3 linked regions of the Mus musculus genome follow. The protein of the gene in region 2 purifies or fractionates together with the protein of the main gene of each other region. This does not show direct contact. Links are inferred from orthologs where the notes say so. Each region holds a gene or a part of one and is shown on either strand. Other genes may lie near its edges.

Region 1 (3,209 bases), on a different chromosome or scaffold from region 2:
TGATACCACATCATATATATGATAGTGATTTATTCAAATGTTTTTGCAACAGGGCTCAAATTGGGAAATAAAGTTGTATCCTTCATGATCTAAGACTTATTGATCCTAACAAAATACTGGTCAAAAGGCATTATTGGGATTGCCAGGTGTATCCCTCAGCTCGTGCCTTCCTTGCAGTCTGAGAGCAGCAGAACCCGAGAGACCATTTCAGGGTTTCACTGCTGTGAACAGATGCCATGACCAAGGCAACGCTAATAAGGACAACAGTTAATTGGGGCTGGCTTATAGGTTCAGTCCATTGTCATCAAGGCAGGAACATGACAGCATCCAGGCAGGCATGATGCAGGAGGAGCTGAGAGTTCTTCCTCTTCACCTGAAGGCTGCTAGCAGAAGACTCACTTCCAGGCAGCTAGGATGAGGGTCTTAAAGCCCACACCTACAGTGACACACCCACTCCAACAGGGCCATACCTCCAAATAGGGCCACTCCCTGGGCCAAGCATACACCATGACACCATCCTTGTAGCTTATTTGTTGATTTTTAAAAATAGTTTAGGGCTGGAGAGATGGCTCGGCAGTTAAGCACTGACTGCTCATCCCAGAATTCAAATCCCAGCAACCACATGGTGGCTCACAACCATCTGTAATGACATCTGATGCCCTCTTCTGGTGCGTCTGAAGACAGCTACAGTGTACTTTATATAATAAATAAATCTTTTAAAAAATAAAAATAGTTTCTTTAATTCTGGACTTTAACCACAGGACCTCACATGTACTTTACTTTCAGGCCAAGTGAAAGTTGGTATCTTAAATGAGTCCTACTATCTCTGCATTTTAAAGATATTTGTAAGGCCTCTTATCCTCTATGAGTCATCATTCCTTAAATCTTTGTTTATTAGTTTATTACTTTTCAAACCAATCCCAGTCCAGCAACACAGACCCCAACTGGGAACTTGTTGGAAATGCAAGTTCTTAGATTCCTGTTCACATCTCTGTTTCTCTCTCTCTTTCTCTCTTTCTCTCTCTCTCTCTCACATACACACACCACTCTATCTGACTCTGGGCACAGGGCTCAGCTCTCTATCTGTCAGGCTGTGGGATCAGGCCTCAGCTCTCAGCCTTGCAACAATTGTGCTGCACTCTGAAGTCTGCAGATCAGAGCAGGAGGCCATTGTTCAGGTGTCTCTTATATCACATTAGAAATAAACATTCCTAGAGAGCAGTGGTGGTACACACCCTTAATCCCAGCACTTGGGTGGGAGGCAGATAGGTCTCTGAGTTCCAGGAGAGTCAGGGCTGATATACAGAGAAACCCTGTCTTGGAGGGGGGAGGGGGAGAGGTGGGGTGGGGAGAAACAAACATTGCAGATGGTGCTGCATTTTCGCACTAGTATAGCATCTCTGGATGTGACAGGGATGAGCTAAGTGTAGCTACAATACTCACACTTAGGATTCTTTCTAAAGAACCATCACAATTCATTTAATACTGAAAACAAGCTGTAGTAATTGGTGATGTTTTTATTTTCCATCTGGAGAGATACAGTTATAAAAAGGTAAACTGACCTGCCCAGTACCCTCAATGGATAAATTGTGAGTCAGGGTTTGGCGTAGACACCGACGTTTCTGTGGGAGCATGCTCTGATATATGACTTGTGATTTCAGCTTCAGAAGTTGCTCACTATGGACCCAATAAAGCGAATTACCTCAGAGCAGGCCATGCAGGACCCCTACTTCCTAGAAGACCCACTTCCCACGTCAGAGTAAGTGGCAGATCTGCTGGCTTCCTGTGACTGGCATCTTTAAGTGTGCTTCCTTCTCTTGTCACACTAAGTTGCCACGCCTCTGAGGGACCTGAAGAAACTGAGCGTCTCTGCTCTAATGCCAGTTTTGGTTTTGTGGTTAAGAGGCATTGCTGAAATGGATGCCTCTTACTCAGTGATGCGTTCACTGTGCTATGGCTCCTTCTACTTGCTAGGATTTTGTGGGGCTGCCTGCAGTCAAGGGTTCTGATATTCTGGAGTAGCAGTTCTAAATAAATCTGCCTTCTCTTTATCATCTTTTGTTTTAACCGTGGAAGGGCAGATGAAACACTGCGAGCTGTGGTAGTGGATGAGAGAGCTGTCCTAGTTGGTGATTATTGATGAGGTTACGCAGAGAAGGACCTTCAGACTGCCTGCTGCAGTGTCATTGGTTAAAGGATTTTTTTGCATCAGACTCGCATGAAAGATGCTTATATCTCTGTAACTATGGAAACACAGTCCCGTCTTCTTAGAGAGTGACAGCGAGTCACCTAGATGAAGCATTGGAAATACCAGGCAGCCAGTGAGACAGCTCTCTTCTTTTTCTCTTGTGACTAGTGTTTTCGCCGGTTGTCAGATCCCATATCCCAAACGAGAATTTTTAACAGAAGAAGAGCCTGATGAGAAAGGAGACAAAGTAAGTATTAAAGTACAGTTGGAAGTGCCTTCTGCATGGCCTCCGGGCCTCTGGCACGCAGCCAGTTTCTGTTCTCCTCCTGAGTTGAACTGTGTTTTCTGTTTAACCAATTGAGAAGACCCAGCAGCAGCAGCAGGGCAACAACCACACTAACGGAACTGGCCATCCGGGGAACCAGGACAGCGGCCACGCACAGGGGCCCCCCTTGAAAAAAGTGAGAGTTGTCCCTCCTACCACTACCTCAGGTGGACTCATCATGACCTCCGACTATCAGGTACTGCAAGTGGCTTCTACTGACCTGCTGTTGTGGGGTTTCTAAACGATCTGTTGTAAAGTGTGGACTACAGTAGCGTTTGTGTTCCTGGAAAGACACAGGCATGGGATGCTATAGGTATGGAAGTCTACAGACATGGAGACTAGAAAGGGATCAGCTCTTGGGACAGACTTGGAGTAGAAAGTCCAGTAACTTGAGACCTGTGGCATTTACAGCACATCTGCTGGGGTTGGGAGATAGTGCAGCAGGTAAAGTCCCTTCACCAGGAGGATTCAGACTCAAGCACCCGTGTAAGTGCTTGGAGGCTTGGTGGCCCATCTGTACCCCTTTGGTCCAGTCATTTCAAAGGCAAAGACAGGATTCTAGTCAAGTGAGCTCTAGGGTCAATTGAGAGGCCTTGCTTCTGTGTCAAGTGGAGAGGAATCAACATCACCTCCGGTTTCCACACGCATTCGTGCAAAGTGAAGCAAAACACAGCTTCAGTGTTTCTCATCTATAAA
Region 2 (4,124 bases):
ACTCATAGGGTTTTCATGTGTGTAGTTTATCACATCCTCCCCATACACGGGTGTGTGTACTCATACATTATACATATATAAGATCACACCCGTGTCAGAGTGCACGTGTGCAGGTCAGAGGACAACTTGTAGCTGTAGAGCGAGCTCACCTACCTGGGAGTTCTAGCCCCAATACTAGCTGCACAACTATGCTTCTTTTAATAGTGGCACCTCAGTTTCCTGAAAAGAGGGATGATAATGGTGTTTGCCTTATAGGGTTGAAAGAACTGGTAACAGTAAAGAGCTCAGAATTGTGGCTGGCATACAGTAAGAATTCGACAAGTAGCCATTGCTATTTGTATCGTTACGCACATGCATCAACCTTCCCTCCTACAAGGCTATCCCTCTGGGGTCCTGGACACGCTAGCCAAATTTGGTACCTCCTCGGATCCGCTCGTTCAGTTGGAAGGAGTAGTCCTAAGGTATCTTTGCATGGCATGACACCTCACCTGCTCTGACTTCAGTTGTCTGCTCTGTACATGACAATAAATACTGCCAGATTCCCTGCTGGAGTCTGAATGTCAAAACATACATATAGGGTTCTTTGCATCTAGGGGGTGGGGGGTGGGGTGGGGGGGCGGGTGCCTCGTCTGCCTTTTCTGCCTTAACTTGTGATCCCCAAGCCACATCACAGAACAAATACTTTTATAAAGAAGGAAGCAGGGTCTGTCCTAAGTTAAGACTGGCCAGAGGGTTGTAGGGCTTTGCCAAGAGCACGAACGCTAGAGCGAAATCAACTCATGCTATTGATTGCATTCCAATAGATGAGATACAAAAAACCCCGCAAAGTCGGTCAGCTTCGGCGTGGCACAATGAAAATCCCAACTAATAACCAAAACACGAGTTTTTATCAGCATCACTATCGCTAACAAGTCTGTGGATGGGCGACGAAGATCAGGATGGCATCTGAGTAAACAAAACAGCAACGGCCTCCTTGAGGCTCCGGAGGGTGAAGGCTGCCACACGCCCGCCCTCGGGCCTCGGCCCCGCGCCCGCCCATCCCTCACCTCTGGCTCGGGGCGCTCCGAGGCCATCACACAGCCCTCCCGCGCCGGCCCGGGCCAGGGAGGTTGCTCCACTCCTGACCTCTGACCCGGCTAGTTCTGTACCGGGCAGGAACCGGAAGTTGTTGGGATGGTCCCGTTTTGAGTTTTCTGATTGGTGAGCGCAGCAAGCCGTGCGAGAAACCGGAAAGGGAAGTGGTTGCGCCCGCCGGGCCGCGGCAATGCAGGTGAGAAGCGGGTTGGGCCTTATAGCCGCTGGCGGGAGGGTGATTGGGCTGAGGACACCGGGGAGTTGGGGCTGTGAGCGGAGGGCAGAGGAAAGGCAGCGGAGCCAGAGAGAGCGAGGCCAGCTGCGGGAGGCGCGGGCATCGAGCCCGCTGATGTGAGAAGGTCGGAGGCCCGGGGAGGAAAGGCGGACTTGATTGAGCGTGGAAAAGGATCGTGGTGGCATTTGGGAAGGCTCGGGAAAGTAGTGGGCTGCCGCACGCCTCGATCTAGGCTGTTGGACACAGGCGTCATAAGGCTTCAGAAGGCTAAAGGGATCGTGGGCCTCCAAGGATGAAAACTAAGCTGTTTGTAATTCGAGGCTGTGGGTGGAACCCGGTGTCCAACCCCCTCAGTCACATAGTCAGGTTTGCAAATCAGCTTTGCATCATTCTTCCCGGCTTGTACCTCGTTGCTAAGGGCGGAGAAGTGGGGTAAATAGTCCTCAGATAGTCAAACGGAAACCCTCTGCCGCCTCAGCGTTTAAAATTGTCTAACACTCAGAAACAATGTGCAGGTTTCCTCGCCTTTGTCTTTCATTACTCTTTCATTACTCACTTGGCTTGTTGCATCTGATAAACCTACACTGTTTATGGGTCACCCGAATTATGAAAGAGACACGGGAATATTGGCACAAAGATGCACGTTGACTTTCCAAAGCACCAAATGCTATGGATAAACGGCCAGTTGGGGGACCGGGAAGGGGATTGCAGAGCTGGTATTCAGAGAAAACCTTACAGAGAGGCAACGTGTGAGATTGTCCAGATTGTGTGGTTGACAGTAGCTACACTCACAAGAGGATGACCAGAGGCACCCATGATATAATGAACTTCGGGAATTATTTAGGCTGTGTGTGCAGATAGCACCCCTGTTATCATGGCAAACCTTTCTGAGGTGAACTGAACTTCCTGAAAAAAACAAAACAAAACTGTGTCAATGCCAACACCACAGAGTGACACGAGGGATTCTCATCCACCCAAGGAAAGCAGCGCAGTGACAATAAGCAGTCGTGAGGTAGGCAGGCCACATCTATTTTCCAGAAGAGGAACTGACAAAGAAGAGTGTGCAGAAACCTGAGCACGTTCCTATTAACCCTACTGCAAATCTAAGAGAATGTTGTCTACTGGGAGAGGCAGTGTTTGAGAGCTGGGAGGAGGAGAGCATGGAATTAAAAAGGTGCAAGGCTAAGTGAGTTCGAAGCCAGTTTTGTTACAAAGACAAATCATGAGGTTTCAAGCCAAAGAGAATTAGGTCTGGTGCAATGACCTTCTTGAAGGACCACAGTGTAGGAGGGTTATAGAGGAATCAGTTAGTAGGAGGACTTCAGGCCAGGTGAACAGGTTGAAAGGTCTAAGGGTTGATGCTATCTGTAACCCAAATACCAAGATAGAAAACAATTTAGCTTTTCTGAATGTGTCACGCTCACTTGTATCTGAGTAACCAAACACACTGTTGATGCAGAGGGAGGAGAAGCAGCTTGAGGCATCATTAGATGCCCTGCTGAATCAAGTGGCCGATCTGAAGAATTCACTGGGGAGTTTCATTTACAAGTTGGAAAACGAGTATGACCGGCTGACCTGGTAAGGATTGCCAGGACAAGCTGGGGAGGGATCCATGGGTGGTGGGGCCAAGCCCCCTGGCTGACAGGACATCTCCAGCGATGTACCCATTTATCAACTTGCAAATATCCTTTTTGATTTGGAAAGAACTAGGTTGCCCAACATTGACAAGTTTAGTTTGGCTTAAAGCCTCCATGGCAAGGAAGTAGAAAAATGTCCAGTTTCCCAACCTAGGCTGTTTCTAGGTTTTAATTCTTACGCTTTGGCTTCCTTAGTGAGGAGGCATTTCCTCAGTGGAAGACCATTATAGCTCCATTTATGGTGGCTCTCCTTCCACACATGAGGCTGGATCTGAGATCCAGCCTTCTGGAATGATAGAGTCTGTTACTACATTAGGGAGGAGGCTTTACAGACTTACTACAGTGTAACCACAGCCCCTGTTTCCACTGCTCCCAAACCCAGTCAAACAGTGGGTTGCCTTTTTTCTGTATCTATGTCAAAAATTGAAAGTGTGTTCCTCTTTCCCAATTCCATCTCTACTAGCAAATCTGGTTCTTGCCTATGCCAGACACAGGGCTGCGAGTCTTCGGGGTGAGTCTGAGTGTTGCAGCATTAGGACTTTTAGAGGTTACTTTGTAGGGAGAAGTAACTCTGGTGACTTCTCGCCACCTCCAGGCCCTCTGTCCTGGACAGCTTTGCATTGCTTTCTGGACAGTTGAACACTCTGAACAAGGTCTTAAAGCATGAGAAGACGCCACTGTTCCGAAACCAGGTCATCATCCCTCTGGTGCTGTCCCCAGACCGAGACGAAGACCTCATGGTAAGACACACAGTATCTTGTTGACTGGATCCTCTGTGTGGCCATGAAAGGTGAGGGCTGCCGTCTGGAAGACTTGTTTTTATCCTTCTGGGGTCAGGAGAGTCCCCCTTAAAGAATGAAGTGAAAATCAGGGCCTATCTCACCAAGTCCACGACCTTCCTTTTCCAACATCTATGTCAGGCAAAAAGAAAAAAGTCTGTCCTGCTTGCCTGTGACTTTGCTGCAGTCTTTAAAATGTGGGGTTGAGAATTTAGCTCAGTGGTAGAACAGACACAAAGTCCTGGGTCCCCAGAATAGGGGTGGAGGTAGAGATTCACAAAAGACCAAAACAAAACAGCAAAAAAAGACAATTTCAGTGTGGTAGTGGAGGGTGGGATTTAGCTCACCCTAGTTCTGATGGAGTGAGTGAGTGAAAAGAGAGTGTCACAGAAAGCTATC
Region 3 (4,302 bases), on a different chromosome or scaffold from region 2:
GAGAGTTGACCTCAGACCCTCTGACTTCACATCGTGTTCCTGTCACTGAGGCTGGCCCAACCCAACTGCTCTTCCGGGTCAGGAGGATCCTTCCTGAGGTATAGGTGAATGTGTATACATCTGTGTTCTGATTTCCCATGTTTTTAATGTTTGCAAGTTACTCTGAATAAACCAGTACTCCAGCACTGCCCTGAGATGGTTTTTATTTTCCTCACTTCCATCTCATAATGTATTTGCCAACAGCTAACACAGAGGGGACAGTCTGCCTTACCCTGCATACGGGAGGTTCACGTTGTCTGAAGCCAAGAGAGGAGTGAACGTGAGAACCAAGGTTTTGCAGTCATTTGAAAAGCGGCAGATGAGCGCTGTGCTATCCCACTTTTATGTCAACTTAACACAGAGTCAGCAGAGAGGAAGGAAACTCAGTTGGAAAAATGCTCCCACAGAAGCATGCTGTAGGCGAGCCTGAAGAGCATCCTAACTAGTGATTACAGTGAGGAGGCCCCACCCACTGTGGGGAGTCACCCTGGGCTGGTGGTCTTACTAGAGTAAGAAAGCACGCTGAAGTTGGGCAGTGGTGGCTCATGACATTAATCCCAGTACGTAGGGGTGTAGACGCAAGCAGATTTCTGAATTTGAGGCCAACCTGGCTTAAAAATAGTTCCAGAACAGCCAGGAATACAAGGAGAAACAAACACAATAAAAAAGGAAGAGAGAGCGCACTGAGCAAGAAAGCACTCCTCCATGGCCTCTACATCAGCCTCTGCCTGCAGGTTGCTGCCGACTTCCTCCAGTGAGGAAAAGTGATACAGAAGTGTAAGTCAGATAAACCCTTTCCTCCACAGTTTGCTTTTGGTCAGTGTTTCAGCACAGCAGTAGCAGTCCTAAGACAAACACCAAACCACCAGAGCAAGAAACCCAGACTGCCTCAGCTCCAGCAAGAGGGCTTGCCAATGTTCCTAAATGTGACCGGAACTGTAATCTTGTCTTAATTTACTTTTAGTATCTAATGGTTTAGAAGAAATTCAGAGGTTTGCACCTAGTGTCCTGTGGCTATACAGGTATGTGCTAAATAACCTGATTAATGCCAGATCATATATTCAGTAACTGTCTAATGCTTATAATGTAACCAAAACCTTCCTTTGCCTAATGACAAAGTAGTTGTGGTAATGTTGCAGCAGAATGCGCCACTCACAAGAGTGTGAAAAAAAAAAAAGTATACTGCCTGATGGATAAAAAGTATTACCTATACAATTACAGGTAGTTCTTAATGCTTGATAATGATAATAAATAATGATGTCACTAGTTTATGGATGTATTATACTGTAGCGCTTCGCCTTGTTGCCTAGAGACAGGGTCTCATATTAAATAGGAAGTTAACAGTGTCAGCCAGGCAGCCTGGCCAGAGCTCTTGAGATCTGTCTGTAGCGCTGGGACGCTGGGGCTCCAGGCACGAGCAGCCATGACTGGCTTTTTATGTGGACGCTGAGGATTGGAACTCAGATCCTTGTGCCGTTTGTACCGCGAGTGCTCTTACCCACCAACCTGTCCAACTCCCAGTGTTGCTAAGAATCCTGACTGCACAAAGAGGCACCAGGCAGTAACTGTTCCGCGTCACCTAAGTTTATCAAAGCACACTTGAGAATGCTTGCACCAAAAAGTGTACCTCTTGGAAATGACCCAAGCGTATATGGAGTGAGCAAAAACATAGGCCATCATGGAGACTGGAGACTTTGGGCCTAAAAGACCATACATCCTTGTATATTCTATTAGAATTATTAGAATAAAGTTAATAGTGGGACACAATCATTCAGAGCAACTTCTGTGTCTTCGTTTCAAATGTTTCCTAGCATCACTTCTCCCCTCTCCACTTGTTTGTTTGGAGACAGGGTTTCTCTGGATAGCCCTGGCTGTCCTGGAACTCACTCTGTAAACCAGGCTGGCCTCGAACTCAGAAATCCGCCTGCCTCTGCCTCCCAAGTGCTGGGATTAAAGGTGTGCGCCATCTCTCCACTTTTAAGAATGTTTGTTTGTTTTTCTTTGCTTGTAACCGTTAAGCCCTGTAAGGGTAAATGGCTGCTCCTTTCTTTACGGTGTACAACCCTAGTACCTAACAGAGCCCACACAGGTAAGATGCCTCGCATTGAAATGGGTACTAAACTGTGTACACGGTGAGAATCTCGAGTCTGAACGTCTGAGGTCCACCAAAATTCGAACACTTTTCGGGGCTCATATAATGCCACAAGTGAGAAATTCCGCTCTGGGCTTCATGCGAACAGTCAAAACGCAGGCGAATTAAAACAACTGTATAAAATTGCCTTCGGGCTATGTGTAAGGACTTAAGACCCATCCCCAAGTCACTGCAGGATCTGGGATGGGACACTGCAGAACCTATCTATGCATTTGATCAGTACGTGGGCTTCACCCGGGAGTAAAGTGTAACTCTTAAGGCGCCTGACAACGTGGGCCCTCTGGGAAAATGGGGCGTGGTCCAGAGCCCACGGGCTTTGGCAGCTCGGAACCAGGGACACTAGAGTCGCAAAAAGTGGTGTCTTAACCTTTCCTAGACCCTTACCATTTGATGACATTGTGAACCAACGGCAAAAAGGAGTAATTCTCCTCCTTCGCGCCAGCGGGGGACTGAGGCCGCGGAGCCGCCGGCGGCGGGAGCGCAGCGACCGGCAGAGGCTGAGGCGGTGGTGGCGGCTTGGACTCCGGCAGCAGCTCGGGCGGTGGCTGTAGCGTATCTTCGGCCTGTCTCCCACCCGCCACCCCAGAGGAAGCCATAGCACCAGGAGTCCAGCAGCTGCCGAGGGGCGCTGGGTGCTTGCGTCACAACTGCGCGCCCGGGGAGGCCGGGCGGGAAAAAACTCTGAGTCTGCGCCCTGGGCGTAGGCGGGCGGGCGTTGCTAGGCGACGGGTGTCGGGAAAGCTAAATTGAGTAGTCAGGATTAGGGAATCTACTCCAGTCATCTTTCTAGTTCACATGACAGAGAGAGGTCAAAACACCAACGAGGACCCCCGGGACTGGCAGGAAGAACGGATGACGCTGGTGAGCACCGTGTGAAACTGAGGCTCTGCGGCAGCGAGCATCCAGATGACAAGGACTTACACGTCTTTGTGTCATGCTAGCCTCCAGGAGGGCCCCAGACTGGCGACAGCAAAACAGGCCATACAAACTAGTTCCACACGGCTGCCAAGGGGAAAACTAATCGTTCTTCAAGCATTTGGTATGCATCTAGCAGGTGCCAGACTACATACGTATATAAGACTAAGATCTTGGACCAAATAGGAGAACTTTACGATAGGCTTGTATTTATTCATTTCAAGCAAATGGGCTCCATTAAAAATTTTCTGGACAAGGGTAGCAGTAATTCTGATTCTGACTAACAAAAATCAGGGATTAGGGAAGCTGTCAACTGGGAGAGGACATCTGTCTTTGATGACAGGAACCATGTCAGTAAAGAGAGGCCAGGAGCCCACATCTCAGAAACAAAAAGAAGCAGGAACGTGGAACTTCACAATGGTGTTTTCAGGTTTTTTAGCTACAGGTCTCAGAATTGTTTTCTTCAGAGCTGCAGATAGTTCTCTAAACAGAGGCACTGTCAGGAAAAGAATAATCTCAGTGTTGCTCAAAAGAAGACAGAAACAAAGTGAAACAAGGTGATTTATTTATTTCTTGAAAATGAGTGCACCAGAACTCAAGATAAGATAGCAGAAACACTCAACAAAATGGCCACTTTCTTCCATCTCAGGCTTAGGTGCATTTCATCCCATTAGTGGGAACACAACTTCTCAATATGACTCAATGGGCTAATCACCCAAAGGGAAAGGTGGGTGGGGGGAGTGGAGTTAGGGAATACAGGCCCCTGTGGAACTAAGTGTCTGATTAGAAGAACATTTCTCACTGCAGGAAACTGTAGGATTTCCTTCTAACCCAGGACCTCTCCACCTTAGGGGAAGGGCCATGATTCCTGAGGAAGAAGGGAGAAGAGAATGGTCTAAGATGGAACCAGGTGTGCCAGAAAAGACTTGAAGACACCTCTGGAGACATCTGGGAGAATGCATGGTAAAACGGCAGTGTTAGCAAACAGTAGCTATCACTACTACTGTGGAATGAAAGTGACGAGAAACCATTAAAACCCTCATTTAATCCACCGAGAAACTCTGGAAGGTATATCTTAGTTTTCCATTTTATAGAAAAAGAAACAAAAGTTTACAGGGCTATAATAGCAGCCCCAGGATCACAAAGCCACAGAGCTTCCTTGACACCAAGTCTATGTCTAAAATCTACAGGTATGT

Evidence for each region.
Region 1: the proteins of Med8 (region 2) and Cdk8 purify together in Homo sapiens (affinity purification with mass spectrometry; 7 studies listed by BioGRID and IntAct, counting the BioPlex papers as one, with this or other methods). This does not show direct contact. The link is inferred for Mus musculus from reciprocal best matches to the Homo sapiens genes MED8 and CDK8.
Region 3: the proteins of Med8 (region 2) and Med9 purify together in Homo sapiens (affinity purification with mass spectrometry; 5 studies listed by BioGRID and IntAct, with this or other methods). This does not show direct contact. The link is inferred for Mus musculus from reciprocal best matches to the Homo sapiens genes MED8 and MED9.

The regions. Positions count from the first base shown.
Region 1 is NC_000071.6:146,297,142-146,300,350, forward strand, and holds part of Cdk8 (cyclin-dependent kinase 8), read left to right. Parts: intron 1-1,661; coding exon 1,662-1,759; intron 1,760-2,356; coding exon 2,357-2,435; intron 2,436-2,550; coding exon 2,551-2,709; intron 2,710-3,209.
Region 2 is NC_000070.6:118,408,117-118,412,240, forward strand, and holds the start of Med8 (mediator of RNA polymerase II transcription subunit 8), read left to right. Parts: upstream 1-1,220; 5' UTR 1,221-1,264; coding exon 1,265-1,270; exon of another isoform or gene 1,271-1,433; intron 1,434-2,768; coding exon 2,769-2,887; intron 2,888-3,409; coding exon of another isoform or gene 3,410-3,457; intron 3,458-3,541; coding exon 3,542-3,686; intron 3,687-4,124. Other genes in the region: KICSTOR complex protein SZT2, read right to left, coding at 1,047-1,073. UniProt on the Homo sapiens protein: Component of the Mediator complex, a coactivator involved in the regulated transcription of nearly all RNA polymerase II-dependent genes.
Region 3 is NC_000077.6:59,946,752-59,951,053, reverse strand, and holds the start of Med9 (mediator of RNA polymerase II transcription subunit 9), read right to left. Parts: upstream 2,841-4,302; 5' UTR 2,788-2,840; coding exon 2,576-2,787; intron 1-2,575.